Linked DNA regions of Struthio camelus. The protein of the gene in region 4 interacts with the protein of the main gene of each other region in a pairwise test. Links are inferred from orthologs where the notes say so. Each region holds a gene or a part of one and is shown on either strand. Other genes may lie near its edges. The genes, in order: WDR62, LNX2, SHMT1 and MAPK9.

Evidence for each region.
Region 1: the proteins of MAPK9 (region 4) and WDR62 interact in binary tests that used the Homo sapiens proteins (3 or more experiments, as listed by UniProt). The two-hybrid records come from large-scale screens. The link is inferred for Struthio camelus from reciprocal best matches to the Homo sapiens genes MAPK9 and WDR62.
Region 2: the proteins of MAPK9 (region 4) and LNX2 interact in binary tests that used the Homo sapiens proteins (3 or more experiments, as listed by UniProt). The link is inferred for Struthio camelus from reciprocal best matches to the Homo sapiens genes MAPK9 and LNX2.
Region 3: the proteins of MAPK9 (region 4) and SHMT1 interact in binary tests that used the Homo sapiens proteins (3 or more experiments, as listed by UniProt). The two-hybrid records come from large-scale screens. The link is inferred for Struthio camelus from reciprocal best matches to the Homo sapiens genes MAPK9 and SHMT1.

The regions. Positions count from the first base shown.
Region 1 is NC_090957.1:1,836,896-1,844,743, reverse strand, and holds the start of WDR62 (WD repeat-containing protein 62), read right to left. Parts: upstream 3,010-7,848; 5' UTR 2,995-3,009; coding exon 2,805-2,994; intron 1,836-2,804; coding exon 1,744-1,835; intron 1,540-1,743; exon of another isoform or gene 1,403-1,539; intron 1,359-1,402; coding exon 1,296-1,358; intron 1,203-1,295; exon of another isoform or gene 1,101-1,202; intron 975-1,100; coding exon 917-974; intron 628-916; coding exon 395-627; intron 47-394; coding exon 1-46. Other genes in the region: THAP8 (THAP domain-containing protein 8), read left to right, coding at 3,215-3,411, 4,091-4,451, 5,643-5,759. UniProt on the Homo sapiens protein: Required for cerebral cortical development. Plays a role in neuronal proliferation and migration.
Region 2 is NC_090942.1:200,708,272-200,716,220, reverse strand, and holds the start of LNX2 (ligand of Numb protein X 2), read right to left. Parts: upstream 3,007-7,949; 5' UTR 2,875-3,006; intron 2,799-2,874; exon of another isoform or gene 2,664-2,798; intron 596-2,663; exon of another isoform or gene 499-595; intron 1-498. Other genes in the region: protein POLR1D, read left to right, coding at 3,694-3,719.
Region 3 is NC_090956.1:3,587,806-3,594,826, reverse strand, and holds the start of SHMT1 (serine hydroxymethyltransferase, cytosolic), read right to left. Parts: upstream 3,011-7,021; 5' UTR 2,942-3,010; intron 2,818-2,941; exon of another isoform or gene 2,634-2,817; intron 2,111-2,633; 5' UTR 2,088-2,110; coding exon 1,986-2,087; intron 1,909-1,985; exon of another isoform or gene 1,800-1,908; intron 1,420-1,799; exon of another isoform or gene 1,357-1,419; coding exon 1,211-1,356; intron 818-1,210; coding exon 702-817; intron 614-701; coding exon 453-613; intron 159-452; coding exon 77-158; intron 1-76. Other genes in the region: chemerin-like receptor 1, read left to right, coding at 5,307-6,383. UniProt on the Homo sapiens protein: Interconversion of serine and glycine.
Region 4 is NC_090954.1:6,436,379-6,443,922, forward strand, and holds the start of MAPK9 (mitogen-activated protein kinase 9), read right to left. Parts: upstream 3,012-7,544; 5' UTR 2,841-3,011; intron 2,235-2,840; exon of another isoform or gene 2,157-2,234; intron 1-2,156. Other genes in the region: GFPT2 (glutamine--fructose-6-phosphate aminotransferase [isomerizing] 2), read right to left, coding at 6,278-6,322, 6,826-6,987, 7,396-7,544. UniProt on the Homo sapiens protein: Serine/threonine-protein kinase involved in various processes such as cell proliferation, differentiation, migration, transformation and programmed cell death.

The DNA.
Region 1 (7,848 bases), on a different chromosome or scaffold from region 4:
CCATGACCTTACAGGACACCTTGTTGGATGCCACCAGAGAATCCTTCTGCTCAGAAAGAAGCAAACAGCCCCCAGCGGCTCGTCGACGAGACAAGATAATAACGGCCGACGTTGCGATCTTGCTGCCGAGCCGCTGCCTCTAGCCGCCCCCAGGAACGTCACGAGGCAAAGAGATCGGAAAGGGCTATTCTGCCCCAATTTGGGGAGGGGGTGATAGCGGTGTTTCGGCGAGAGTTCACGAGGCGGTTCAGCCGCAGCGAGCCGGCTCGGTTTAACGGGCGATTTGCCAATCGAGCTGAGTTTGGCCGGGGTCGACCCGCGCGCTTAAACGCCTCCAGGGAGGAAGCCCGAACCGAAGGCGACGAGGCCAAGTTCCCGGCTTTCCGGCGCTCACCTTCCAGTCCCACACGTTGACGATCATGTCGTGCTGGTAGCCCACCGACACCAGGTACTTGGCGTTGGGCGAGAAAGCCACGCAGGCCACGCCGTGCTTGTGGCCGTGCAGCTCGGAGAGCTGCGTCCGCTCCTCGACGTCCCACACGCGCACGGCCGGCCGGTGCCCGTTCTGCGAGAGGAGCCGGGGCGGCAGCAGGCTTTCGCGTTTTGCCAGCGCCGCTCCCGCCCCCCCTTCCAAAAAAAAGGGGCTGTCTGACATTTTCCAGCCCGTTTTCGATCCCCCTCCTCCCCATCCGCTGCGCTAGCCAGGCGCGTAGTTCACAGCTGACTGCTATGAGCAGCGTTATCATGCCGACTGACCGGGATCCCCAGTGCCCAAGGCTGGAAACGGGCCGGAAAACACACAAAAAAAAGCTGGAGGAATATTCTTGGCTACTCTGTGCTGCTCGTAAGGGATGTTTACCAGCGCTGGGCAATTAAAAACGGGCAAACGGCATGATTACAAACGAGTCAGACTCACCTCTCCGGTCACAATAAGCTTCCCGTCGGGGGAAAAGGCCAAAGCACTCAGGGTTTTCCTGCAAAAAGATGAGGGTTTTTAAGAACTGGGCTACAGAGAGCCACGCCAGAGGGCAAACTAACGTTTCCTTGCGTCGAACGTGACGTTAAAGCAGAAAAAGAAAAAAAAAAAAGCTTTAAGCTACCCAGATACGGTTCCCAAAAGTCAACCGTCAGCGCGGTCCGCCTTCCCAAGCCCGTTTGAGCAGGTAGAAAACGGCCCGGCGCGCGCCGGAGGAGCGCGCTTTGCCCCGACGCGACCTGAACGCAAACGTCGCCGCTTTCCAAACCTCCCTCCGAGCCCGCTGGGAGGCTGAGGGTAGATAAAGTCGCCCCGAGACCTGGAAGCGTTCAGGATGTGTCTCTGTTTGTTCTTTCGGGGATTTAAGATGACAACGACGCATCTGGAAAAGAAAAAACAAAGGCAAAAGAGAGATCGAGGGCGTACCGGTAGCCGTTTTCCTCGATCGCGGCTTCGGAGGAACGAAGGGGGTTTTAAGGGAGGACGAGAGAGACCGCCGAGAGCTTTAAAGCCTTCCCGTAAAAGCGTTTTTGCAGGAAACGGCAACCTGCCGCGTTTTAAACTCGGAGAAGCCAAAGGTTTAGTGCTGGCACCAAACCGGGATGCGGTTTTGAGGTCAGTTAAGGCGTTTCCGGGCGGCAACGGCAAATAACGCCGTTCGACCAAGCCGGCTTCGGCGAGAGCGAGCCGAAGGGGTTTTCCCCCCCCCCGCTGTTTGCCGGGGGCTGCCGGATCATTTGGGACCAAGGGGGACGAGAAGCGCTTACCCCGCCGGATAGGCGATCTGCCCGGTGGTGGGGTCGCAGGCCAGCGCGCTGCTGCTTTGGGTGGTTATTCCCAGCACTCGCTCGAGCATAACCTGGGGGGGGGGGGGAGAAAAAACCCCCAAAATCCCCCAAATCGGAAGTCGAGGGAAAGCCACGAGGATGCAGGGGGACTCCTTAGTCCCCCCACTAAGGGGACCCCCAAGCCCCGCCCCCTCTACAAGCCCCACCCCCACCACCCCAATCCCCATGGAGACCCCCAAGCCCCACCCCTTCTACAAGCCCCGCCCCTCCACCCCAATCCCCATGGGGACCCCAAGCCCGACACCCTCTACAAGCCCCGCCCCTCCACCCCAATCCCCATGGAGACCCTGAAGCCCCGCCCCCTCTACAAGCCCCACCCCTCCACCCCAATCCCCATGGAGACCCCGAAGCCCCACCCCTTCTACAAGCCCCACCCCACCACCCCAATCCCCATGGGGACCCCAAGCCCCGCACCCTCTACAAGCCCCACCTCCATCACCCCAATCCCCATGGGGACCCCAAGCCCCGCCCCCTCTACAAGCCCCACCTCCATCACCCCAATCCCCATGGGGACCCCAAGCCCCGCCCCCTCTACAAGCCCCACCTCCATCACCCCAATCCCCATGGGGACCCCAAGCCCCGCCCCCTCTACAAGCCCCACCTCCATCACTCCAATCCCCATGGGGACCCCAAGCCCCGCCCCCTCTACAAGCCCCGCCTCCATCACCCCAATCCCCATGGGGACCCCAAGCCCCGCCCCCTCTACAAGCCCCGCCTCCATCACCCCAATCCCCATGGGGACCCCAAGCCTTGCCCCCAAGCCCCTCCCCCACCACAATCCCCACGGGGACCTCCAAGCCCCGCCCCCTTTCAAGCCCCACCCCCACCACCCCAATCCCTATGGGCCCCCCAAGCCCCGCCCCATGGGGGGTCCCCGCTCCCCCCAAAGCCCCGCCCCAACACCCCTAGGCCCCGCCCCCAAGCCCCCCACAGGCCCCGCCCCCCGCCAACGGCCGCCCCCTCCCTTCCCTTCGCCTCACCGCGTCTTCCGGACCCTGGTGCCGCGACCGCCGCCGGAGGGTGAAGAGAGGCGGCGAGTCGGTGCCGGCCCGGCCGGGAACGGGGCCGGGACCGGGCCCGGGACCGCCGGCTCCCGCCATGGCTCCGGGCCGCCGCCGCCGCCCGCCGCAGCTCCGAACTGCGCGCGGCCAGCCGGCGTCCCCACCCCATTGGCCCCCGCCCACGCCGCTCAGCGGCTCGACCAATAGGAGAGCGGGGCGCCGCCCGCTCCGCCCCCTTGTCAATCAGCGCGGGGCTCGGCCAATAGGCGGCGCCGCTGCGGAGGAGGGGGTGGGGAAGCCGTGTTTATGTCCCCGCCCCGCCTCGGCTCCGGCGTGCAGGCCGCGTTGCTATGGCGGCGCCCCGCCCCTCCCCGCCTGCGGCAGCGCGCATGCGCACCGGGGAAGGGGCGTGGCGTGCGTGCGTGCGCGCTGACGCAGCGCGGCGGCGCGTCACGTGGGCGGCGGCGGCGGCGGTGGTGGTGGCCGAGTGGTGCCGGGCCCCGAGCTGCCCCAGCGCCCCCGGCCCGGCCCGGCGCCTCCTGCCGCCGCCTCCTGCCGCCGCCGCCGCCCCCCCCTCCGCGAGTCGGTACCGCCGCCCCGCCCGGCAGGCGCTTCCGGGTCTTGGCGGCCGGGGGCTGACGTCAGGGCACGTCACGGGCCGCGCCGTGACGTCACGCGGCGGGGGTGGGTGGGGGGGGTGGTGCCGTGTCCTGGGCCCGGGCAGAGGTCGCGTGGGGCTGGGAGGGGGGAGCGGGAGGGGCTGGGAGCCCCCCGGGGTGGGGGAGGGGCCCCCGGGGTGGGGGAGGGGCTGGGAGCCCCTCGGGGTGGGGGGGAATCCTCAGGGTGGGGGAGGGGTCGGGAGCACCCCAGGGTGGGGGAGGGGAACCCCCCAGGGTGGGGGAGGGGCCAAGAGGGGGAGGAGCCAGGAGCCCCTCGGGGTGGGGGGAGGGGAGCCCCGGGGTGGGGGAGGGGCGGGAGCCCCCTGGAGTGGGGGAGGGGAACTCCCAGGGTGGGGGAAGGGTCGGGGAGCACCCAGGGTGGGGGAGGGGCCAAGAGGGGGAGGAGCCAGAAGCCCCTCGGGGTAGGGGGGAGGGGAACCCCCAGGGTGGGGTGGGGAGCACCCCAGGATGGGGGAGGGGCCAAGAGCACCCCGGGGTGGTGGTGGGGGGGAGCTGCTGGGGGGGGGGGGAGGGGAACCCCGGGATGGAGGAGGCCTTGGCCTCCCCCCTCCCCTCCCCCACCGACAGCTCCGGCCCCTCGCGCAGATTCGGGACGTCGGTTCGCGCTGACCCCGCGCCGCAGAGCCACGGGGAGGGGGCGATGCCGCCGGACCCCCCGCCGGAGCCCCCCAACTCGGCCGTGACCGCCTGCGACTCGCCGCCGCCGCCTCCTTCCCGGAGCGTCCGGCTCCCTCCTCCTCCTCCTCCCGCCGCCGCCGGGGGCTCCGCGGCCGAGCTGAGCACCGAGCAGCTCGTCGGCCTGGTGCTGCTGCTGCAGAGGAAGGTGAAGGGGCTGCAGCAGCGGCGCCGGCGCCACTGCGCCCGCCTGGAGGCCATGGAGAGCCTGGTGCAGCGGCTGCGCGCCCACAGCCTCCCCGCCCGGCGCGGGCTCGGGCTCCTGCCGCTGGTGGGTGGCGCCGCCGCGAATTTCGGGACCTCCTCCTCTCCGGCCCCTACGTGCTCTGTAGTCGCTGGAGCCCCTATAGCTCCTCTCTGGCCCCTACGTGCTCTGTAGTCGCTGGAGCCCCTATAGCTCCTCTCCGGCCCCTATAGCTCCTCTCCGGCCCCTATGTGCTCTGTAGTCGCTGGAGCCCCTATAGCTCCTCTCTGGCCCCTACGTGTTCTGTAGTCGCTGGAGCCCCTATAGCTCCTCTCTGGCCCCTACGTGCTCTGTAGTCGCTGGAGCCCCTATAGCTCCTCTCTGGCCCCTACATGTTCTGTAGTCGCTGGAGCCCCTATAGCTCCTCTCTGGCCCCTATAGCTCCTCTCCGGTCCCTACATGTTCTGTAGTCGCTGGAGCCCCTATAGCTCCTCTCTGGCCCCTACGTGTTCTGTAGTCGCTGGAGCCCCTATAGCTCCTCTCCGGCCCCTATAGCTCCTCTCCGGCCCCTACGTGCTCTGTGGTCACTGGAGCCCCTATAGCTCCTCTCCGGCCCCTACGTGCTCTGTAGTCGCTGGAGCCCCTATAGCTCCTCTGTGGCCCCTCTAGGCCCTCTCCAGTCCCTATCGCTTCTATAGCTCCTCTCCAGCCCCTATAGCTCCCCTCCGGCCCCTATATGCTCTGTGGTCACTGGAGCCCCTATAGCTCCTCTCTGGCACCCCTAGCTGCTCTAGCCCCTATCGCTCCTATAGCTCCTCTCCAGCCCCTATAGCTCCCCTCCAGCCCCTCTAGCCCTTCTAGCTCTTCTCCAGCCCCTATCGCTCCTATAGCTCCCCTATAGCCTTTGTCCAGCCCCTGTAGCCCCTATAGCCCTTCTCTAGCACCTATAGCCCCCGCAGCCCCTATAGCTCCCCTATAGCCCCTCTGCAGCCCCTATAGCGCCGCCCTTCCCCCGGGCGGGCCGCGCGTAGGCCGTGGCCGAGCCCAGCCCCGGCGGCCGCGGCCCTGCAGGTACCGGCGGCGCGGAGCGTCGCGACCCCCCCGGGACCCCCGCGGGACCCCCAAACCCCCCCCCCCACCCCGGGACGCCTCGTCCTGGGCCCGGCGGTCTCGGCTCGCCGCCGTCGCAGCGCTTTCACCCCCCCCCCCCCCAGCCCCGAATCTGTTCTTCCGCCCCGCGGCGGCTCCCCGTTTCCTCCCCGTTTCCTCGTCCTCCAGGCCTGCCTACAGCCGGAGCCCGGCAACACCGTGACCGTCGTCTGCCGGGACGAGGAGCCGGCGGTGCCGTACGCCGCGCCGCAAACCGCCGCCGTCCCGCGCCCGGAGGAGCCGTGAGCGGAGCCGCCGGCCGGGGCCTCGAGCTCGCGGCACAACGCGCCGCCGCGCCGGGTGACAACCCCCGGGGTGACAACCGCCGCCTCGAGCTCCGCGAGCCGGCGCGTTCGCCACGGAGGTTGGGGGGGGGGGGTTGGCTTCCCCCCCCCCCGCCCCGGGAATCGCCCCGCGGAAGGCGGTTTCGGGGAGGAGGGGGGGGCGCGGAGGGGACCGAAGCGGTGGCTGGGTGGTGGCCGTGCCCCCCCCCCCCACACCTTTGGGTGCTGACGGTGACGAGCCCTCGTGCCCCACCGGTGATTGGGGTGGGGGGGCACCTTATTTTTTTTTAATTTCGGGTTTATTTTGTGACACGGGGCGGCGGGATTGTCGATCGCTTTAATAAAGGCTGAACGGAGACAAAAGTGATGGCGGCGGCGGGGGGTGGTCTGTGACGCTCGACCCTCAGGGTGGGGGGGGGACCCCGGGGTGGGGGTCGGCCCTCGGAGGTCCCCTTGGGTGGGGGTCGGCCCTGGGGCCACCCCTGGGTGGCGGCTGGTTGTCTGCTGACCCTGCGCTCTGAGCCCTGGGCTGCAGCTGTCAGTAGGTTCCAGAGTTAACGGAGGATTGTTGGCAGCGGGGAAAGAAGGTGGCAGCCCTTGGGGCGAGTCTGTGCTGCCAGTTCCCTATAGATACAGGAAGGGGCCCTTCGCCCTCCCTATAGTCTCTGCCCCTATAGGCCCCCCCATAATCCCCTCTCTGCTCTCTTAGCCCCTCCTGCAGCCCCCTATAGCCCCCTTATAGCATCTCTCCGACCCATTGAGCCCCCACAGCCCCTCCAGCTCCCTATAGCAGCCTTCCAGCCTCCGTATGGCTCCTCTCACTTCTTTGCACCCTATAGGCCCCTGTAGCCCTCTTTAGGCCCCTTCCGCCACCCCCTGTTGCCCCCCACGTGCCCCCTATAGCACCCTATACCGCTTCGAGCGCCGTTCCACCCCTTGTAACCTCCCCCAAAGCCCGCTTCCCGTCTCTGTCCTCACCTATAGCCCCCAAAGCCCCCTATAGTCCCCATAAACCTCTCCCCAGCACCCTCGGCCCCCTATAGCGCTCACTACCTGCTGTAGCTGCCCTATAGCTGCTCTCCAGCCGCTGCAGTGCCTCCGCAGCTCCCTATAGCCCCTCTCTGTACCCCCAGTAGCTGCACTGCAGCCCCTATAGACCGCTATAGCCCCTCTCTGGCCCTTGATTACCCCCTCCCCAGGCCTCTATAGCTGCTCCCCAGCCCCTATAGCCTCTTCAAACGTTATGACTCCCCCCGCCATAGCTCTCTACACCCTCTTCCCAGCCTTCATAGCCCCCGATGGCCCCCTATAGCCCCTCCCCAACCTTTAAAACCCACCGTGGAGGCCCTAGAGCCCCTCTGCAGCCTTTATAACCCCCCACAATCCCCTATAGCTGCTCTCCAACCCCTATTGCCCCTCTCCAGCCTTTATGACACTACCATAGCCCCCTATAGCCGCTCTCCTGCCACTATAGCCCCTCTACAGCTTTTATACCCCCCATAACCCTCTATAGCCACTCTCCAGCCCCTATAGCTCCTCTACAGCCTTTATGACGCTTCCCTAGCCCCCTATAGCTGCACCGCAGCCCCTATAGTGCCTCTCCAGCTTTTATAGCCCCCGATTTCCTTCTAGAGCTGCTCTGCAGCCCCTATAGCCCCACTGCAGCCCCTATAGCTCCCCTGCGGCACCTCCCTGGCTCCCAGAGCCTCTGTAGCCCCTCTAACCCCTATAGATCCTCCAGCCCCTATAGCCCCTCCAGCTGCTATAGCCCCTGCAGGCCGTGTAGCCTCACTCCAGCCCCTATAGCCCCTGTAGCCTCTGCAGCCCCAATAGCCCCTCCAGCACCTATAATCCCTTTAGCCCCTACGGCCCTTCCAGCCGCTGTCCAGCTGCTATAGCCCCTACACTCCCTGTAGCCCCCTATAGCCCCCTGCAGTTCTTATATACCCTACAGCTGCTCTAGTCCCTCTAGCCCCTCTCCAGCCCCTATAGCCCCTGTCGCCCCAGTGACCCCCATAGCCCCTCTGCAGTCTCTGCAGCCCCTGTAGCCC
Region 2 (7,949 bases), on a different chromosome or scaffold from region 4:
CTTAAACTACCACAAATACAGAGCAACAATACAATTTGCTTACTTAAAAACGAGGCTGAAAACATTGTATCTTGCAGTATCTTAGCGCAATTTTTTTTTTAATTAAAATACTTTCTACTGATTAGATGGAAAAATTTCAGAATCATAAAACGGAACTTAAAATCTTGCCTAAAATCTTAAAACTTCAAAAGTTACCCGATTTTACAGCAAACAACTGCATCCTTACACAGCCTTTTGTTTTTACCATATAATGCACTAGCTCACTATCAGAGAGGCTCAGATTAGAAACCTCCCCTCTCTTCCCAGCCCAAATTCCAAAACAGAAACTGTCCTAAGCTATTTGTGAAACTAACATTCATTCAAATAAACATCTAAGAGAATGCAAAGGGTTGTCACCTAATCAAATTCAGATGATCAAAAACACTTCCAAAAATGAGAGAGATGTCTGTACCACTACAATGCACAAGTATGAAGTCAGCTCCTCTACAGTACTCCTACCATCTGTAAGGGAAGGAGACCCATGGCACGGTTGGGAGTTTCTCGTTACATGTCCATTGGTTAGCCAGCCCTCACTGCCAAGCCAGAAGTCATCTACCTATACGAAGTCATGCAAAAGATGAAAACAGTCAGGACGAAAATGGGACAGGTTTATCCCCCAAACTTTGCAAACATAAATCCTCAAGACATTCACGCACAGGCTGAACATCAAGCCCAAGAATAGACCCACCATATTCCACAAGAAAAACTTGAACTTTCAGAATTAAACATACGCATGAATGCCTACAGAATTGAGGCCATAAAAAGCAGAGACTACAATGTTATTGTCTTTTATTGCTCTCTAGACACCGTGACCTAACAATTACATAATTAAATAATGACACGTAAAAGGGTTTTCATCCTTAAAAGGCACTATGATTTCTAAACAAAAAAACTCCATTGACCTAATAAAGCAATTTAGAAGCATGCAATTCAACGGTGTCACATTAAATTGCTTTTCCAAACTAAATCAACAAAGAATTTTCAAATATCAAAGACAAACCACTGACTAGACCAAACAGATTTCCAGTGTCCTCTGGTGCCTCCATACACCAGGAAGCATTTTCATTCTGAATAAAGGTTGTTTTCTTATTACAGCTCTTAATATCTAATAGCTTTTTAAACAAGCAGCATCTTGCTGATTTATGAAATTAATGTATACTATTCCAGTGTCTAAACTACATCATATCCTTACACATTTCTTTTTTAGAGTGATATTGTAAGCCTCACTTCTGCTTCACGGTGGCTTTAAGTGGCTGTATTTAAAGCATTTATTAAGAGAAGGATAGGATTGAAAAAAAAGTCTAGCAGGGGAATATTCTGAAGTATTTTCAAGTAGACAGTTTTAACTGGAAGCTAACAAACTTCTGCTGTTTTTTAGTGATGCTGGTCCAGAAACGTATAGTGAGACTCACAGGCTGTTCAGTTCAGGCAAAGCCTTATGACAAAACAAAGTTTCACTAAGGTCATCAAGGCTTTTATGTGAGTCGGCTCCACACACACGCAAAAGCTTGCAATGTCAAAGCCAATATTTTTCTAATTATATATGATAGGCTTCAGTAGGCTTATTTTTTAAATTAACCTAACTGTTCAAGAGAACAAAACTTTTCCACCTAGTCACCAGCTTGCACTCCTCTTGCAAAGTTTCATTCCTAAATTGCAGCTTCATGTTTGAACAAATTTTAAAAAAAGGTTAAAGACCTGGGTTAGGAAATCATGTTGTTTGTGCAAGCCTCAGACCCGAGTCCAAGGCCCTGGGCTATCTGTCGCTGAAGTCAGTAGGGTAGGAATTTGTTATAGAAAACTCGGATCTAAAAATCAATGTGTAGGAGGTTTTTTTGTGTTTACTGAGATTTTAGAATTTTAATAACACAGAAGCTTAAAAATCAGAAATGTCATAAACTTTTATGTAAAAAGATTCCCACTGGACAAAAGGGCGTTCTTTGCAGTTTCCCGAACTCGGGGTTTATCGTTCTGCAGCGCTGCGTTTAAGGAAGAGAAGACTCCTCACTCAGTGAGCTTCAAAAAGTAAATGCTAGAAGGGCCCTATTAAGCCTTACGGTCCCAGACAGTATGCTTAAATACCTTGTTTCCACCCTGAGGAAATCTGTTTTAATAAAAGTCACGGCGGCATATGGCAGTACTAAGGTGGTTATTTTCCGAGCGGGCAGGGACACTAACTGAAACCATCTGATGTTTCTTCCTAAGCCTCCTTGATCTGCTGCTGGATCGCAGCTTAGAATAAAACATCACGAGGCCACAAGGAATTGGGTAGCGGAGTAGAAATCGGTCGGTCCAGCTGTTTATTTAATAAGAGCCTAGCTCAGAGCAGCTTCTCTTTTGAACAAAGAAGCTCAAACGCTTCTATGATTTATTTCCAGAGGGGGATCAACGACACCCCAAAGCCAGCGCGTAACAGAAACTCCTACTTTGTACGCGAGCGCGAAAGAAAACCCACAACATCGTGTAATTAAAAAAGGAATTAGATGGGGCCCAGCAGTACTTAACCGCGGATTTCTGGCGCAGTGCACAACCAGACGGGCTGTGCATCAGAAACGCGGCAGGCGGAGCCGCAGGGGGCTGCCGTCCCCGTCCCCGTCCCCGTCCCGCCGCCGCCGCTCCCCCACCTCGCCGCCGCCTCAGCGCTGCCACCTGCTTCGCCAGCCGCGACGGTTTTTTCAACGCGACAGACGCGACCTGAACGAACACCGGCCCCGGCCCGCCCGCCCCAGACTTGTTGCGCCACGAGGCAGGCCCGGCCCGAGCAGGCCCGGCCCCGCTGCCGCCTCCGGCCACCGCCCCTCAGCGGCCGCCCAGCCGGGCAGGGAAGTTACTCACCGCCGCCGGCTCCCGCCGCCGCCGCCGCCCCTCAGAGCGGCGCCGCGCTCGCCTCCATGCCGGGCGCGCAGAGCCCTCGGGGCCGGGGCCGGCCCAGCCCGCCCCGCCCCGCCTGGCCCAGCCGCGTCCCCGCCGCGCCGGTGCCGGTGCCCCCGCCCCGCCGCGCCGCGCCGCGCCTCGCCGGCGGCAGCCCCGGGCGCGGGGGCGCCGCAGCCTATGGGAGCGGGCGGGGCGGGCCGCGCCGCAGCCCCGGGGTGGCCCCGCCGCTCGCCTGATCGGCGGCGGCGGCGCGGGCGGAGGGTGAGGGGCCCCCGCGGGCAGCAGCGCCGCGGCGCGGGGGGCGGTGTCGTGCCCCGGCGCACCCCCGCCGCCGCTGCCCCAGCCGCCGCTGCCGGCGCTGGGCGAGGAGCCCCCAAGCCCGCTCTTAGCCCGTCCCCGGCCCCCGCTCGCCTTAGCGGAAAGCGAGCGCGGACAGCCCCGGTCGCCCCGTCCCGCCAGGACTGGCGCCAGAGTTGCTTCCCGAGCCCGCCCGCCCGCAGCAACTGGGCGGGGGGCGCTGAAGGAAACGGCCCCTCTCGGGCGGGGGCAGGCGCCCGCGGCAGCCGGCGGGGAGGGGCAGCGGCGCCGGGGCCGGGGCCGGGCCGGGGCGCGGCGGGCGGGCGGGCGGCAGGTGCGGAGGGGGGAGGGGGGAGGCGGCCGCCGGCCGGCACCGCCCCGGCTCCTCCCCCGCGGGGTCCTCGGCCGCCCCGCCCCGCCCCCGCCGGCCGCCAGCGGGACATGGCGGCGGCCTGCGCCTGAGCGGCGGCCGCGGGCCGCGCCATGGAGGAGGACCCGGAGCTGGAGAGGTGAGCGGGGGGCGGCGGGCTGCGCCACCGGGCCTCGCTGGGCCGCGGCGGCGGCGGCGGGAGGAGGAGGAGGAGGAGGAGGAGGAGGAGGAGGAGGAGGTGGTGCCGGCCGCGACCCGGCGGCCTGTGAGCCGCGGGGGGCCGGGGAGGCCGCGCGGGGTGGGCGGTGCGCGGCGGCCGGCTTCCTCCCTCGGCCTCTTCGGGACGGAGCTTTGAACCCTCCCCTCGGGCGCTGCTGTGCGAAATAAATGAATTTTAAATGAATTTTTTTCCGGCGTAATGTGAAAATATATACGTGTATCATTGCTTGAAAAGAAAAAAGTCAAATCTCCTCGCAATGCTGCTGGTACTGTTCAGGAAGAAGATTTAAAAGCATTAGCTGGCTCGTCTCTCATTAATTGGAAGTCAGCAATTAGCCTCACTTGCTAAAATCAAAAAAAAATAAAAAAAACACACAGTTAAACTTGTACTCTAGTCGGTTTTGGTTCTCAGCGTTAGAGATTTGCCAGCTGACCAGCTGTTAAAATGACCCGTTTCTTGTATTATGGCAAAATGTTTGCGGTCGTTTTGTCAAAAAAGGAACGTGCTCCGTGCCTTGCGGTTTGGCGTGGATGAGCCGATGTGTTTTGCTGCGCGTGCTGAGCTGTGGTTGAGCTGTGGTGTTCCCAAGCAAACATTGCGGACTGAAACGCACGTTTCTCTCTCCGAATATTCAGTCCTCGCAGGCGTGCCTTACTCCTGCTTTACTCTAAGTATTTACAGCACAGGTAGATCTTTTCTTTTGATAATCATGCTATTTCTTGCAGGTTTGTCTAGAAGAAATGATTAACGTGGTGGGTTTTTGACATGGTTCCTTGAGCTTCGCTCCACTTTTCTAACAGGCAGAAAACTTAGGGGACAGCGATGACTAGAGGCTTTCTGAACCGTTCTTCTCGTGATTCTTCTCCTTGACTTTAAGAGTCGGTAGAAAATAACTTGTTTCTCTCGCTGTTTATATTTAGCAAGTATTTTAAATAGGACAAATGTAATAGTGTTGGCGTGGTGGAAGGCATAGAGAGCACAAAGCTTTTTAAGAGGCCTTTAATTCTTGTACGCTACCTCCCCTTTCACATCATCAGTACAGAAATTCAAGTTTCTTTCTAAATATGCAGGAATGTTATTTTTATGACTGCTGTTCCAAATTTATGCCCCCCTTTTTAATCATATCAAATCTAAACTTTGTCACAGCTCCTTCCACGTTCTGTCTCTCTTCTGGCCGCTGCTGACGTGCCGGGGACTTGTGGTTCTCCAGGCAGTTTGGGGCGTAGCTGCGAGAGATTGCTCCAGAGTCTCTTTCTGACGCTCTCCTTTCCACCAGCCAAATTTGCCTCTTATTTCAAGCTGATGCTGAATATACTATTCCTGTTTCATGGCAGTAAGGTAGATAGTGAGGAGGAAACTGTGTATTATTTGCCAGAGGAGGCACAGAAGGGTTTAACTGTCCTGCACCTTGAATCCATGCTACATGTTTAATCAGCTCCTTGCATATTATATATACAGTATAGTGAACTTATTGGTTACTGTTTTCTATCTTGGATCTGTCTTACACTTCTTCATTAGCTAATTACTTTTTCATGCTCTCAGTATTCAAAAAAGCTCTTTTTGTTAGTAGCACCCTTAATTCAGTTCACACTGTGTGCATTTAAATGTCGTATTTGAGCATTTCCCATCACACTTCTCCATACAGTCCCCAAGAGTCTAGTGTTGACCTCTCTTTATCCTTTGGCTTACAGACATGACTCGTTAGTCTCATATCCAGCTACCTGGTGATCATACTCACGTTATGTCAGATGTACAGCTATGGCAGTTAGCTTTCGTAATTTTTGGCCCTTTAAAATATTGCTTTGGCCTACGAATAATGGCATTTTTCTTCTGCAGCCACAGCATAAATATTTTAGGTAGATTTTTGATGTTTCAAAAACGTTTTTATTTGGAATATTTTTCATCGTATTTATCTCAGTTTAGTCTTATCTCAGTGCACGAGTCTTCAATAACAGTGTAAGACTTTTTGTATGTGTGGTTTTAGTTAATGTAGCATAAAAAAAAGTTTGTAACTACTTTAATGCAGGTTCTTTCAGGCCTAAAGTGCATTTTGTCAGGTTTCCAAACAGCGATTTATTGAGAGGAGTCAGTTGTCCCAGTTTTTTGTGACCATCTAAAGAGAAGTCTCTCTGTTCTGCTTGTTCGGTGTTGCTTCTATTTTTCCATTTTACAGTGTCTGGCTCTCGCTTGATCTTGTGTTTGATGTTTTTCTCGCTTTGATAGAAAGTGGTAGTCACTACCAAAGCTGATGCTAAGTTGTGTTACCATGTGACTGTTGCGTACCCTGGGATTTAAAACCCTAAAAGCTGTAAATACTTCAAGTGTGTAAAATGTTAAGCCACGTTCTATTAATATATAATTCAGAGTAAAATGTATATGATCCTAGAGGAAGTAGGAAAAAAGGTTACAAATCAGCTACTGAGAATTGTTTATCTTATATTTTCCCTATAAGCAGGTGTACTTACTTTTCCTACTTAATTCCTACTAAATGTCCTTTGGGGTATGATAGAGGTCACTATTTTCTTCCTTATCCAAACAATTCCCACCAGCTGTCTTCATGGGTCTGTGTGTTCAAAGCACAGAAAATACGTGGTTAATCTGGCAATATAAAGGAAGTGGCTTTGCTGTGCTGTGTGTCCAGATTCTTCCATAATCAATTTCGTCTCTCAACAGCTCTGGATATTTCACAACCTTTAGTATCATAGCCTCTTAGAATTGCCTGTCAAGCTTGCTTGGAGTATCATGTACTTGGAAATAAGCATCTCTTAAGGAGATAACGTTCTGTACACAAGAGCTGCATTGTGGACAATCAGTAGTCTAGTACTTTTGCTGTCCCGATTATAGTTTCCAGCAAGTAAGTTTTGTGCCTTGGAGAAATTATTCGACAGTTCTCACTATTCTTTCTGTTATTTTTAAGTTAAAAATCTAACTGTCATGTTACTTAGTTCAGTATGTAATTCTTTCCCATATTTGTGGCCAAAAAGGTGATTTGCAAGCTAAAGTCGTTGTTTGAAATTTTGTGGTATCCTCACTCCTCAAAGCCGTTGAGAGTATCAGCACGGAAATGTGCTGAAAATAGACTTAGCTAGGTAAGAAATAATCCTGGCCTGGGGAGAGTTAGAGCATGAGCATGCCTGATGTGGAATATCTTTGCCTTTGAACACACGGTAGAAAGTCTGTGGCATATTAGTGCCTTTTTTTATTCTTGTTCTTAGTTGTGGCTTAGGCTTTCTTTTTGATATCCCTTTTTGTCAGTGTTTGTAATAAATGTGGTCAAATAGGACAAATTAACTCGTAGGAGTCAATTATACAAACATTGGCCTTTCGTGTCATTCTTCTACTGTAGCAGGCAATAGCTTCAGTCCTTGGCTTCATGGAAAGTCTTGATATCTAATTTTTCAGAGATAATCTGAGTACCAATGGCCCCTTTACTTTGGATCCTGCACGCACTCAAAAATAGCGTACATAGTCAGCGTAGAAGTACTTTGATAAAATTGATGTAGAAACTGGCTGTTCATTCTGGGCCTGTAGCTAGCTCTCAGGACCTAGAGTACTTCAGAAAGTAGATTTAAGCATTCAGTGATTTCAGAGATCACCATAGCTCAATAACCTAGCTTTTCAAGTTGAACGTTACTGGTATAGACTGCAGTTGATTATTAATGCTACAAAGGTCTTTGGAGAAGATCTATTTGATAAAATGTTCTCTTACTCTGGGAGATGTTGTACAAAATTGTATCTGATTATTGCCCTCCTGCTCCCAGATCTGTGCATATCAGTAATTGATTGTGTGCTGTGAAGTAATTCCAGTAAATACGTTGCCGGTACAGTTCTCTTGGGGATCGTTGATGAGATGATGGCATGGGTAGGTATGGCAGTGCTGTCTATAATTAAAAGCATCCAGTCTTCTCTGTAGTCATATCCTGTTCTCATTGCCTGTAATTTTATGTGTATCTGTTTATCTGTATCTGTTATTAATTGTGTTCATTTTTTAATCTATATTTTTGATCTTTTTCAGCAAAAAGGTTAACCCTTTTTCTGAACGACCGAGAGAAAACATGAATGATTTTACTTGACTTTGCGGCCTTTAACATTCTCCCATTGTTCAGGCACGTGCATTTGTGGTACCAGTTGTTAGAGTTTATGCAAGGG
Region 3 (7,021 bases), on a different chromosome or scaffold from region 4:
AAGGTGCTAATGGCTTCAGGGAGCCACCCCAGTCCTGGTGCATTACCAGGGAGGTTAATAAGGGTTTGACCCTCACCTGCTATGATCAGCTTGGGGTGGAACAGGCGGGCGTTCTCTTCTAGTCGATCATAATCGATGTAACCAGTCTTGGGGTTGACCTAGGAGACAAAAAGGACAGTTCAGCCACCTTGGCATGGGTAAGGATCAGTCCCAGCGCCATCCCGCAGGAGGGGATACGGGGAGAAGGGTGATTTGACAGCACAAGTAGTGAGAGGGGAAGGGGCATCCCACCCCTTCTAAGTCATCCTCCTTCTAACCTCCCAGGTCACCCACACCCTGGGGACAGGACACAGATGTAACCGTCCTGGTTGGACCCCATTACTCTTGCATTTAAGAGGCTGTAACGCTTATGACTGCCACGTCCCTGCTCCAGCTGGAGTGGTTCTCCATACCTTGTAGGGCATGGACTCAAAGAAGATGGAGGTAGCAGAGATCTTCTTCTTGTCCGTCATGAAGCCGTGGGTGAGGTGGCCGCCGTCGGGCAGGTCCAGCCCCATGATCCTGCCATGGGGCTCCACCAGGGCCGTGTACACCGCAAAGTTAGCGGGCGACCCTGCAGCGAGAGCACAGCAGGCCTGTTACAAGTGCCAGGGCACGTGGGGGCTGACGGAGCGCAGCCTGGCTCTGCCAAGCACGGTTACCTGAGTACGGCTGGACATTGACTCCCCACTTCTGGGGGTCCAGCTGGTACGCCTCCAGGGCTCTCTTCTGACACAGCCTTTCCAGCTCGTCTACAAACTCTGTCCCGCCGTAGTACCTGTTGGCAAAGGACAAGGTGGGATTTATGCCAGGGTTGGTGTTGTTTGCTTAGAGCAAACTGCAGGGGATTAAAAGCAAACTGATTATTCAGAAAGGTCCACGTGACCAAGGCCATGCTGGCTGGGGAGAACCAAGGCAACGCCATGTTTGCGGCAGCTACCAGGGCAGCAGCTGCAGCAGATGTGACCCTGCAGAGACGGTCCCACGCGCAGCCACGGGCAGAAGCTGAGGGGTTCAGATCCTGCCCTGGAGGAGCTCGGCTGGCTGGGCCAGTGCCATGATACCGCTTCCTTTCCGGGGGTGAGATTTCAAGAGGGAAGTGGCACGGGGTGGGTTGTTTCTCTTTTCCCTGTAAGGGTTTGGGTCAGTTGGACTCTGCCCTGCCCTGTACCTCTGTCCTGGGTAACCCTCAGAGTATTTGTTGTTCATGCAGGATCCCAGGGCCTCCAGGACTGCTCGACTTGCAAAATTTTCAGAGGCGATTAACTCCAGCCCCAGCTTCTGGCGCTGCTTCTCCTTCATGATGATGCTGTATACCTTTGGGAGACAGGAGAAACTGCTTCACTGTACTGGCTCTGCATGAGACATGGATGCTGCCAGGTAGGGATGCACCCTCAGAGGGGAAAGCGTGATGGAGAGCGGCTTGGAAAGGTACTGGAGAAGAAAAATGAGACCCCTTCTTGGTACAACCGATCCTGAACAGGTTCTGTCATGCGCTCTGTCATAGGCCTCGTTTTGGGTCTCTACCTGCCAGGAAGCTGCCAGCTAATTTGGTTGTCATTTGGGCTAGAGTCTAGGGTGGCTACAAAATGCACTAGGCTTTGGCCATGCTGGTCTGGTTGGCCATCTGTGCTTGTGCAGACATGTGAGCTTCAAGCAGAGGGGTATAAGCAATAGATGTGAAGTGAAGACCGTGTTAGCTCGATTACTGTGCAGCAACGCACTTGGAGGATGCTCTTCCTCTCCACCTCTCGCTGCAGGCAACCTGGCACAGAGACCTGGTGAGACCCAGCTCAGCCTTGGACCGTCTCGCCCCTGCGTCACCAGCTTGGGGAGGTCAGCGTCCCCGTGGCTGCCCAGGCCCAGAGGGTGAGTGAAGCAGGTTGCTTGCACTGACCGTACAGGCTGCTCCGCTGCCGAGGCCCGTGCCAGGAAAGGGCTCTCACCTCCGGGTCGTTGCTGTCGAGCGGCTCCACTACCATCCTGTTATGGGAGGCCCAGAGCTCCGTGCTGGGGAGGCCCCCGCTGCCCTGCGCCGAGTTCGCCATCTGCCTGCTGGGTCCAACGTAGCCTGGAGCCAGAAAGGGAGAGTTTGTGGAGCTGGCTGGGATGGCGGTGGGGCCGGGTGCCTCTGGGCCGTGTCCCCCACGTGCTACCTGCTCCCATCCCACGCCTTCCCCCGAAACGCAATGGGGGCTGGCCAGTAGGGTGAGGAAAACCCCGACACCTCTTGGGGAAGCCCCACTGATTTAAGATGGTTCTCCAGTTACGGTGCTTTGGTTATTTCCGACGTTGCCCCATCACCGCTCTGCTCGGGGATTGCGCGGGCAGGTTCACAGGCTTCCCCCAGCCCGAATCTGGGGAGAAGCCTGGCCCGACGCTGCCCTGTTGTGGCAGCAGCCCTCCCGCACCCGCCAGTGCAAACACTGCAAGCGTTATGATGCAGAGCACGTGCTCCCAGACGAGAGTGACAGCCCAGCTTCCGTCTCGGCTAAAAACAATGCATCTCTTTTATCCATTAACCCTGCCAGCCTAGCAAAGGGCCGTGAGCAGGTTATTAAGCAACCGCATTTAGTTTATTCGTGTCAACCCACCCTGGCTGTGCAACCGCACTCCTGCTTGCTCTGGCCTGGCCTCCCCACGACCCGCAAGCCCGGGTCCTCGCTGGCACCGTGGAAACCCTCCCCGCCGCCACCGCCCTGTCACCAAAGCTGCCTGCAAGGAGGAAAGGCTGCGGGGAAGGGCAGGGTGGGAGGCCACGGGGCTCTCCCGTCCCCCCGGGGAGGGCAAAGCAGGAGCTCGGGGCAAGTGCATGCCCGGCCCGCGCCTGGGCTCCTCCAAGCCCGCCCACAGCCCCGAGGGTCCCCGTGGGGCGAGCGGCACCGCCGGGCGCGCTCCCTACCTGCCCCTGCCTGAGTCACGCTCCCGCACGCGGCGCGGGAAGCCGCGCGCCTACCATAGAACGTTCGGACACTCCCCTCCGCGCCTCGGCCAATCACCGCCTGACCACCGCCCCGGTAGGCTGGCGAGGGACACGCCCAGGAAGCGTCTCGACCAATCCGCGCCGCGCCTCACCTCCTCCCCGCGCCCCATTGGCCCGCGCCGAGGCGAGGCTGGCGGCGCCACTGGCGCGTGGCGGCGCGGGCGCGGGTGACCTTGGCCCCGTGCAGCGCCGCGCTCCGGCGGGCGCGGGGCCGCCCCGTGGGCTGGGGGTGCTTCGAGCCCCCCTGCCACCCTGTGAGCCGGAGGGTGCTCCCAGCTGCCCCACGACCTGGGGGGTGCTCTGAGGCCCCCTGCCACCCCACCAGCTGGAGGGTGCTCCCAGGAGGAGCCGGAGGGTGCTTCACGCCAGCCAGAAGGTGCTCCTCACCTCATGAGCTGGAGGGTGTTGCTTGCCACCCTGGAGCCCAACCAGATAGAGGATACATCCAACCATCCTGCAAGTTGGGGGGGGGGGTGCTTCTTGCCACCCCACCAGCTGGAGGATGCTCCCAACCACCCTGCAAGCTGAGGGGGCTCTCTGCAAGCTGGAGGGAGCCCTGCCACTCCACAAGCCACAGGGTGCTCCTTGCCACCTCACAAGCTGGAGGGGGCTCCTAGCTGACCCATCAGATGGAGGGTGTTCCCCACATCAGCTGCAGCCCTGCCAGCCAGAGGGTGCTTCCCAGCCACCCCACCAGCCACCGGGTGCTCCCTGCCAAACCCCTCCCTGCAAGGCCCCGTGGCATGATGCCGTTAGCTGAGTGTGCCATGCACAGAGCCAGGTGCTGCTGCCATGGGGACTGGTGCCTGCTCCTTCCCCTTTGCAGCAGGGAACCCTGGATGCCCAGTGGGGTGTCTGGGTGCTTGAGAGGAAAGAAGCTACCGCTCAGGGATGAGTTGCATAGGCAGGAGAGGGGCCTTGTTTTCTCTGTGGTTTGAAGCCAAGTTAGCTAATGCAGTTGACCAACTTGAGCCATGCAACAGCCAGAAATTCAGGGGTTAAATTCACTATATTATAAATTGAGGAAAAGGACTAAGGAACAAGTGATCCTACCAAATTCCCCATGATCCCAAGGCATGGAAAGATGAAACTAGGCACTGTGAGTCACTCCAGAGAGCAGTGTCTTAACGGTGAGGCAGCCAGGAGGCAAGAGCAGCAGTCAGTGGCAGAGCGAGGAGCAGAGCGCTGTGGTGAGTCCTCTCGTGCACCTGTGATAAGGGGCCCTGGGGTGAGCAAGAGGGGCAAGGGAAACTGGGGGCTTACCAGGAGGGGGATTCGTGGGCATGTGGCTGACAGTTATACTAAGTGTTTTTCTGCCTATTAGAGTACACGTCCCTAGAAGGTATCTCTTGAAGCAATGGTCTTGTAACCTAAGCTTTATCAGTTTGGCCAATTTTTTTTGCTATCTTAATCTGTCCTTGGCCATCCCAAGACGATTCCTTGCAGCAGCAGGATTTGGGTTTCCCTGGTTCTGCTGTCAGCCCATGTCTGATTGCTTTTGTAGGCAGTTTATGGAAGGGTTGTTCTGCCACCACCGATACTGATGGCGATACCTCAGTTGGTTTCTCCGGTTGAGATGGTTTCTGTGATGTGCAGAGCAGTGCCAGGGTCACATGGCCGTGCGGCGACTCTCCAGCTCCCAGGGCAATGTGGCACTGGGAAGGCCGCTCTGGGTGATGCCAGCCCTTGCACCGCAGCGCCTTGGGCTGCAATGAGGTGAAAGGAGTTGCAAGCAAAAAATCATTGTTTATTATCATTTCTTGGCTTAAAACATCTCTCAATGAAAGCAGGCTGGTGTTCAGTGGTGGCGATAAGCTTTGCAGGGATCCAGGGGACTGCTCATTAAATGTGGAATTGCCTTTGTCTTGAGGGAGCCTCAGATTTTTGCTTGTAGCAGTACGACTCTGAGTTTTCCACTTGGTGGCTGAACTTCTGCTCAGATGTCTCCTCTACCCTTGGGTTGTTTTGATATTCATCAGATACCATCACTTCCAGGGCATATTTAGGATCAGATCAGCCCAAGAGATTCACAGACCCTCTGTCTAGGTTCGCTTGGATCTTGTTCAAATGGCTTAAATTCCTTGTACCTCTGCCAGCCTGAAGCCTTTCAGCCATTATATAGGCAGACGGTTGTTATTAAGTATATAAAGTGGATATAGTCTGGCATTGTGTATACATATTGTGTACAGCAGTTAAGCAAAGATTTTCACCTCATCTGAGCTGTAGGAGCTGCAGGTAACAGAAGTGTGTGCCTTTATGATTTCAGGAATCTGGCTTGCTGGTGATGGAGAACTTCTCCTCTTCCCCTTCTCCCTTCTCTGCCAGTTCTCCCACCGGGCTGGCTGGGAACGCCACTGCCCACGATCACTACTCCAGCCTGCAGAAGAGCATGCATATCCTTTCCATGGTGGTATACAGCATCGCCTGTTTGCTGGGGGTGACGGGGAATGGCCTTGTCATCTGGATTGCAGGCTTCAGGATGAAGAAGACGGTGAACTCCGTATGGTTCCTCAACTTGGCCATCGCTGACTTCATCTTCACCTTTTTCCTGCCCCTCAGCATTGCCTACACTGCACTGGGTTTCCACTGGCCCTTCGGGAAGCTCCTGTGCAAGCTGAACAGCACCATCGCATTCCTCAACATGTTTGCCAGCGTCTTCCTCCTGACGGTCATCAGCATGGACCGCTGCGTTTCTGTGGCCTTTCCCGTGTGGTCTCACAACCGCAGGAGCCCGGAGCTGGCAGCCAGGGTTGCGCTGGGGACGTGGGTCCTGGCTCTCCTCCTCAGCTCCCCGTACCTCGTCTTTCGGGACACTGCGGTCAGCTCCAAGAACATCACCAGCTGCTACAACAATTTTGCGCTGTCCGACGACTACACGTCTGAGGCAACGCGGAGGCTGTGGAGGATGCGGCTTAAAGCGATGATTGTAACGCGATTCTTATGCGGGTTCCTCATCCCTTTCACGGTGATTCTCATCTGCTACAGCATTGTTGCTGTCAAGCTGAAAAGGAGGCAGTTAGCCAACTCTGCAAAGCCATACAGAATTATCATTGCTGTCACAGTCTCCTTTTTCCTCTGTTATTTTCCCTACCACGTCTTCTCCTTGCTGGAAATATCCAAAAACTCTTCCAGTCATGAGATGAAAATGGCTCTTTACATAGGGATCCCCCTGGTTTCTAGCCTTGCTTTCTTCAATAGCTGCATCAACCCCATCCTGTATGTATTTGTGGGGCCGGATTTCAAGGAGAAGTTTCGCCAGTCCATCCTGTCAGCCTTTGAAGGGGCCTTCAGCGAGGAGTCCATCCTGGCCAGCAGGCGGAAGTCCAGGTCCGCTTCGGAAGTGGAGGTCCCGAGGGCTTGAGCGCTTTGTGCTGCGTTGCCGGCTCCGTTGGAGAGGGGCAGTTCTCTTCTCTGCTGTTTCCCTTCATTTCAGAGCTATAATTGCCAGACGGAAGTGTGATTTGACATTTTGGAGGTATCTCAAATCTGCCATGACTTAATATACTAAAGAAATGAAACAACTGGTTGGAGTTGCAGCAGGGTGGGAAAGTCAAAGTAGCAGCATTTTGTTCCGTATGCCCCTTCCTTTGCTGCCCATTTCACTTCTCCATCCTTTGTGGTCCATCATACCTATGCGACACCTCCTTTGTATACAGACCAGTGTGACTTTTCTGCCACTTGTGCTCGTTTGTCAGCTGGGTTCCTTAGCACTGAGCGTAGTTCAGAGTATTTCGTGTCCATTGTGCCCGTCTGCTGTGTGTAAAGCCCACAGGGGCTTTGCCCTGCCTTGCCAGCTGTCTGTCACTGTGTTTGGGACTGCTGGCAAAATACCCCCCCCCCCCCCCCCCGGCTGGCTGTGCTGAGAGGGCAACCATCGGCAGGGAGGTGGTTGTTCAGACCTGGCTGCTTCAGCGCTGCTGATCCGTTACAACTTGCAGTTGTTAATAGGTGATCTTTTCTGTGCACCGAGTTTGTGAAGCCGTTGACCAAGCTCCCTTT
Region 4 (7,544 bases):
TGAGGGGGACGGGCAGGGAGGAAGAGAAATGCAAGTCTCCTATACAACACTTTCAGGTGCAGTCAGATGCACAGGGAGTTGCATACCAAAGCATTACGTAGGCACTAATACCATTTACAACATCCCCTGCATGGATAAACTCTAGGAGGATAGTCTTCCTTTAAGCAAAAAGCATAAGAAACTCAGTTGGTTGACAGAGTATTAGCTGAGGAACCCACCAGAAAGGGAATCACATGCAAACACAGATTTTTTTTTATTCCAAAGCTAACTCTAACGTATCAAATTTTTTGATTAACAGTCACTGAGCAGCTTTGGTGTCTTCAGTAAATCTTCACACATGGGAAGAAAGGTATGACTGGAGAGGCAAGATAAGAAGAAAGGTCAAGATCCTACCTTTGGCAAAGATTTTCAGAGGGGAAAAAAGTATAAAGTTTGAATAAGCTGGGCATCAAGTCAAAAAAATAGTTATTTATGTGAAAAAACAAACTGTACTTCTTCATGGGTTAATGAAGCACTTTCTTGTTACAGAGATAAAGTTGGGTAAAAGGAAGTTACCCTGAACCAAGGAAACTCTCACTTAGAGGAACCTTGCCTGTACAAAACCATCTTTCAAAAATACTTCATTTAGAAAACAGGATAAGCTCTTTGGACAAGACCTAAAGAGAAATAACGTGCAGCTTTTATGTATTTTGACATCCTTTCGAATTCACAGTGCTGACTACCCAGCTTCTCCACAAAACATGCAAGGGAAGAAGCAAGCTGAGTCCTAATTCTTACTTGGGCTGCAAGCTGTTCAGAAGCATTAGGACATATGCTGTTTCAGACATACCCATCAGTGGAAAGTTAGGTGCGTAGGGACTGTAGGTGTTCACTGGGCTTAAGGCAGAGAGTCTATTTTGGGGGCCAGACCCCTTGAGTAAAAACAGATTTTCCATTGCTCAAAAGCCAAGCCCTGAGCTGTAACTCTCCTACCCAAAATACTTTGATTCATCACTCCTGTTAACAGGACACATAACAAATTCCATGCTTCTCCTATAGAGAAATCATTTGGAAGTAGACGTATTTCAACTGCAGAAACACACATTTTCAGTTACAGCTTCCTAGCTGCAGCTACAAACACGATCAGCACCAAAGTGCAAAACATTCATTCATAGGACGATCAGCAAACATACTTCTACATATTGATAACAGCATGTTACTGAATTAAAATGAGTCAAGATTGAAAGAATCACCACAAACCTAATTCAGCACATCACATGCAGTAATCGTAAAAACACCTACAGGAGTTGTTTTCAACCTGCAGTCCGTGAAAGATAATTAGAGAACTAAAAACCCCAAACCTACCACAGTAGGCTTATGAGTTGTTATACAGAATTCCACTTCCCAGTGGAAAATCTGGGGCAGCCAACAAATTTAAAAAAGGCTGAAAGCAACTGCACTATAGTACACATACTGTATTAAATAGTCACTTCTCTAAGAAGCTTTTATTAAAATGGCAACTTCTTATTAACCAGATCTGTCCTCTGGATATCTTCAAGTCAAAAGCTTCTGAAACAAACAGGTTGTAACAGTTGTGAATACATTCCCAGCGTTGTTTTGGTTACAGAGTGGCATTAATGACAATGAAGGCTAAATACTTAGCTAGATTTTTAAACCTTGAGCTAAAATTCCATCACTGGCAGTGAGAAAAGTGTGTATAATATAAACAAATAAATACATACACATATATATATTTGTAATCAGGTGGACTGTTTCTAAACGAACTGGATGAAGACACTAGGGGGGTATGATACAGAAAGCCTGTGTGGAAAAATCTCCCCCTTCCTCCATTCTCTTATTCACATTTATAAATGCATTTCAAATTAGGACGCCCTTTTCTAAGGCACATTAAGATAAAAAGGTAAAAACCGCCTTCAATAGCAATAAATCAACAGGTATAAATCCAGCTTGCAGAATCATTACAATTTACCCCATATCACTTCACTTACCAGCCTGGAACAAGTCTGCTACAGAACATAAGTGCAGCAAAACAGTAACTGACATTAGTCAGTTACAGCAGTCTAGAAATACTCCGTATCAATTTAGCACTTTGAAAAAAAGTTTTTTTTTTTAAATTTCCAAAACTACTAGTGACGAAAGTCTTTGTAAACAACTACCTGTTATAGCATTATCTGGCTGTCAATAAAACGCTGAAGACAAACCCTGGATGCACCTCAGCTCTCCTGCTAGCACGACTTGGCAGAAGGAGGAAAAAAAAAGTTTAACCGTGCATCTGCTGTAACAAATCACGCTGTTTCAAGATTACATAAGAGCCGCATAACTAAATACGAATACTTCTAAAATCGCCTCCGCTGCGAAGTTGCTCTGGCTCAGCAGGAGGCTGGCGCTCGCTGCCTGAGAAGCACCGCATCGGCCTGGCCCCCGGGCCGGCCGCATCGTTAGGCGGCGCGGGGCAGCGGGGCGAGGAGGCCGGCCGGCCCCCACCTCCCACAGGGCCGGGCCGGGCCGGGACGGGGGCGCCGCCGCAGCCGGCAGCCGCCAAGGCAGCGGGCAGGGGCCGCCGCGGCCGGGCGGCGCTGGCGATGCGGCACAGGGGAAGGGCGGGGGGCTCGGCCAAAGCGGCCCCGCGGAGGAGGAGGAGGAGGAGGAAGGGGCCTCTCGGCGGAGGAGGAGGAGGAGGACGAGGGGGCCACGACATGAGGGAACTTCCCGCCCTGCCGCCGCGGCGGGCGGCGACCCGCGCGAGCCGGGGGCTCCGCTCACCACACGGCCGGGAGGCGGCCCCGCCGCAGCCCCGCGCCGGCCCCCTCCCGCGCCCCCGCCCCCCGCCTCGCTCTCACCGTCTCCTCCGCGGCGAGACCGGACGGGACAGGACGGGGCGCTGCGTTTGCGGGGCCGCAGCAGCCGCCCTGCTCCTCCAGCGCGCGGGGCCACCCCAGCCACAATGGCCTCCCGCTGCCCCTCACAGGCCGCGCCAGGTCTGCGCCCGCTGACAGACACCCGCCCTGCCCAATCGCGCCTCCCGGGGGCCGCACTCAGCCAATCGAGCTCCGGGGGCGGGACCCCGCTCGCCGCTCTACGAGGGAGGGAGGCGGTGACGGGGAAGGGCCGCAGTGGGGACAGGTTGGCTCCAGCCAATCCGGCTGCGGCCCCGCCCCCTGGAGTGAGGTCATCATCCCATGTCAGGCGGTCACCGTGCTTATGATGTCATCACCGCCCAGAGGTGCCCCGTCATGAGATGCTGTGGCGCCAGCCCCCACGGCCGGGTGACGGCAGCATTTCCTCAGAGCGGCCCTGCCCCAGCAGGTGGAGGGAGGCACGCTGCGAGGTCAGCACGGCCCTCAACAGCCCAAGATGACATCACACGTGGGCAGCCCCTCACCTCACCTCCGTGCTCAGGAGCTCCTGGTAGGACCCGTGACAATGTGGGGTGGCCAAGCCTGCACTGCAGGGTGGGAGGGTCGGACAGGGCCCCAGCAGCAGCAGCAGCAGCACCCTTATGTCCCCTCGCACCTGCAGCAGTACCAACACCCACCAGCTCCACGCAGCTCTTCCAGCGAGGGCTGGTTCGGAGGCCAAGGGAATATTTATCTCCTACCTCACTCAACTGTTTTTGTCCCCTCTCAAAAAAACATAAGCTTTCTATACATCTCTCTACCTTGACCTTAGGACTGCTTGTTTCTTAAAACAGGTGGTGACCAAGAATAGACTTGATGTGTTTTTCCTGCCTCTCCTAGGAAAAGAGAGCAAGCTTTCTTTTCCGTTCTTTTTATTCACGCATGAGATTTAAAAAAAAAAAGCCACAGTTTTATTTTGCAGTTTTATTTTAAATAAATCAGTTCAGCTAGCCTCTGAAGTGCACTGCTGTCAGCTTCCTGTAATAGCTCCTCTATTAATATGAGGAGGATAGTAATTCTAGAGAGTTGGAGGCACCCTTCTGTTACCTACTAAAGCAGGTCAAATATTGAGTTACATGTCCTGGGCATCTAGGTCAGATTATCACAGTGCTTTTAGTTATGATTGGGGTTCTTCTAGGTAGTTATAAAAAGTAATTATCAGAAACGGCTCTATTACAGCAAGCTAGTGTACCCCTTTCAAATTATTAACCTACGTTCTAAACATTTCAGTTTAGAAGCAAACCTGCAGGGGGATGTCTTGTACATACATAAAGAAAATGTTTAGTCAAGGATTTAGATGAGTTATTAAACAAAAAACAGAAATGAAAGAGATCATTCCTGATAGTTACAAATGACTACAGACCCTCATGCATATATCTACCTTATTTCTTTGAGGCCTATTGATGCTTCCTGTTGCTAGTTCACAACTAAAAAAGTGTGCCTTTGCAAATAGATACAGTTTGAGACCTGAAATCTTTAAGTAGGGCCTTTTATATTAACAAAATTCTTATTTTTCCTTGATTAGTACTTGCTTGAAGGTGTAAACAATATTTTTGTTGCTATTGAAATAGTTTTTAATGTGCCATTATTTGTAAAGTAGGTACTCTATTAAAATGCAAGTTTATTGCAATTTTTTTCTTGGCCTAGAAGGCAACATTATGACCACAGACAGCAAGTGTAAAATATAGACATAGCTTCCTGTTTCAGCTCTGGGAAAGTTCTTCCCATTCATTTACATCAGAGGAAGGCAGAATACAAGCCTCAGTCACTAACTAGTATGAACTGTAGTCAGAACTATAGCCAAAGATTCTACTGCCGTTTTATTAAGTGTCTGGTGAAGCTTTTAGCTAGGAATGTTGTACGGTTAAATTACTCCGAAGAGTCACCTAGCATTTAAATGAACTCCATCACACCAACTACTAGTATTTACGTCTACTAGACTAGCAAGACTTACTCATTTTCCTCAATTTAAAGTCATTTTCTTCCAGTCATCACAAATAGGGAACTGAAACCCAGATCCCCAAAGGGAGGTAGTGGTGGGGACACGAAGGCCTGGTCTACCTAATTTTTAGCATGAGATTCTACTAGTAGCATTCCTAAAGTCTGAGTTAAGGTACCCAAAAAACAGAGCTCACAACATCCAGCCTGCTGAGCAGGGAGAGCTAAAAGAAAAACTGAGGAGCAGTCACCAAATTCTGCTTCTCCTGTACTCGTGTGCCTGGAAAAAAGCGTGATATGGAGCAAACTACCAAAACCCAACTCACTGTTTTGAGATACAGCTGCTGGAGAAGGAGAGTGACGTGTGTTCACCTTTGTAAAAGAACACGTGGCTAAAAAGAGATCTGTAGGACACAAAAACAAAACAAAGTAACCCACACACGCCTACCTCAAGCAACAGAAGAGAAAGAACTCTTGATACCAGGGTTTAGGCAAAGCTAGGGGAGCACTGTCTCTCCTACTGGCATAAGAGTATTGCAGTATTGTATCATGTTCAGACTGAAAGGAGGAGGAGTCAGATGGGAAAAGAAAAAAACAAACAGCAAGAATTTACATCATCTTTTCTTTAATTGCATAGTAATTTCATCGTAAACTCTTCAAACAGAAGTATCGCTTGAAAGACATCCAGTTCCCTTATTTTGTTGCACTGTACATGTTATGCAAATAAGAGCTGGGGCAGCATACAAAGCAAACTGTTGCTCTGGCTTTTCAAATAGTTCGTTGAAAGAAGCATGACTTTAAGACATAGCTGGCAATTTACAGCCACAGAAGAGCTTTGGAACAGACTGGTTAAATACAAACACAGATGCAAAGTGGGAGGGCAAGCCGAGGAGGAAAAAGGACAACAGATTTGCCGTTTGAGGCTGAAGCAGGAAAAACCTAACAACCAGACACAAGTGTCAGTGTGCTCAGTATTTACATTCTGAGCATTATCAATGCTACAAGATAAGCAACATACTTAAAAAAAATAACTTAAAAAAGCTATACAATTGTACTTATAAATACTATATCTTTAAAACTAATTAAGTAGTGAAGGCTAAAAAAAATGTTCACAGTTGCTCTAATGAGAGCTCTATATATATATTGCACAGTAGAAAACTTCATTCAGTATACCATGTGTAAACAATGATTTTTATCTTCTCCTTTGGCAATTTCAGAACTTAGAGGAACGTTTGCTGTGAGCAAAAGCACTTGGGTACAAGGCACATCAAAAGCTTTTAAAGCTGCATAAAAAGAAGATAAAGCCTTCTGACACTTTCCAGTTAGCATTGTCATTCTCTTTAGAAAAATGTGTACCTATCAAGTTTAAAAAAAACACCACACACATTTATAGAGTTATAACTTAGAGGTCTGGTGACAAAAACATCCACTTTTCTTGGCTGTTATTCTACGGTAACAGATTTGGCCAAATTTCTTGGAAAGTCCACCTAGAATGAAAAGACAGACTTTCAGTATACGACAGTAAAACTAACATTCTTCATCTGACACTTAATTTCATATGTGCTTTTTTAGACTTCCTAATATGTCTAGATAGAGCAGAACTCATGAACACACACTGGAGACTATTGATCTGCAGATAATGACTCACTGTTGAAGTCATCCTTGCTTCCAAAGCCCTGCTAAGGTACCCTGTGCAAAACCGTGTTTGTTAGGTACCTTAGGTACAGGGTACCTTTGCATTCTTAAAGAGTCAGAACTAAGCAAATTATATTTCTGAATTTTTTTGTTTTTAAGGATGCCAATTACAAAAATAGAGCTGAAGAATTGGCACTAAAGTGTCACTTCTACTATCACAGTCACTACCAGTACCCCTAACTACTATCATAGTTCCTTGTTAGAGATGCCATATAACTATATCTTTCACTTTACGCTGGTAGGAGGAAGTTCACAACTGCTCTAACTGGATTGCCTAAATATAGAAGGCACTTACATCGTATCCTCTGAGAACAGCCAGGTGGAACGAAAGCAATTGGAGGGGAATAACACTCAAGACTCCTTGAAGGCAGTCAACCGTATGAGGCAGCTCAATTGTTTTGTAGGCAAACTTTGAGCTTTCTGTGTCTTCTTTGGAACACAGAATGATTGGGCGACCCTGAAGATGAGATTTTAAAGAGTTAGTGAATATCTGGGTTAGAAATACTTTGAGATACTGGTTCACGGCACGTCTGTAATATGTTTGAAGACACTCGATAGTAGACAAGAACAATGTCAGTCTTGCACAACAGCGTGAGTGACAAAAGCCATTACGTAAACGAGACTTGAATGTTTTCGTCCTGTAGATTTTTAACATTTTTCCACTTGCTTCAAAACCAAAACACACTCACATGCAGTCAGTTTTCTGTTACTGGTGTCAACCTTTAATGACAAATTGTGATGCAGATGCAGCACCTTACTTGCAACTTTCTAATTAGAAAGAAAAAAAAAAATCCTATTTCTGAAGCACAGTCAACAGCAATACATTTCAATGTGCACATTCTCTTTTCCTATAAGGACAGCTTACCTGTCGAGCCGTGATCTGTTGCAGAGCATTCTGGCATTTGGTGAAGCAAGGATCCTTCATTATCACCATGATAACCGGCATTTGTTTATCTATTAGGGCTAATGGCCCATGTTTCAGCTCACCAGCCAGGATGCCTTCAGAGTGCATAT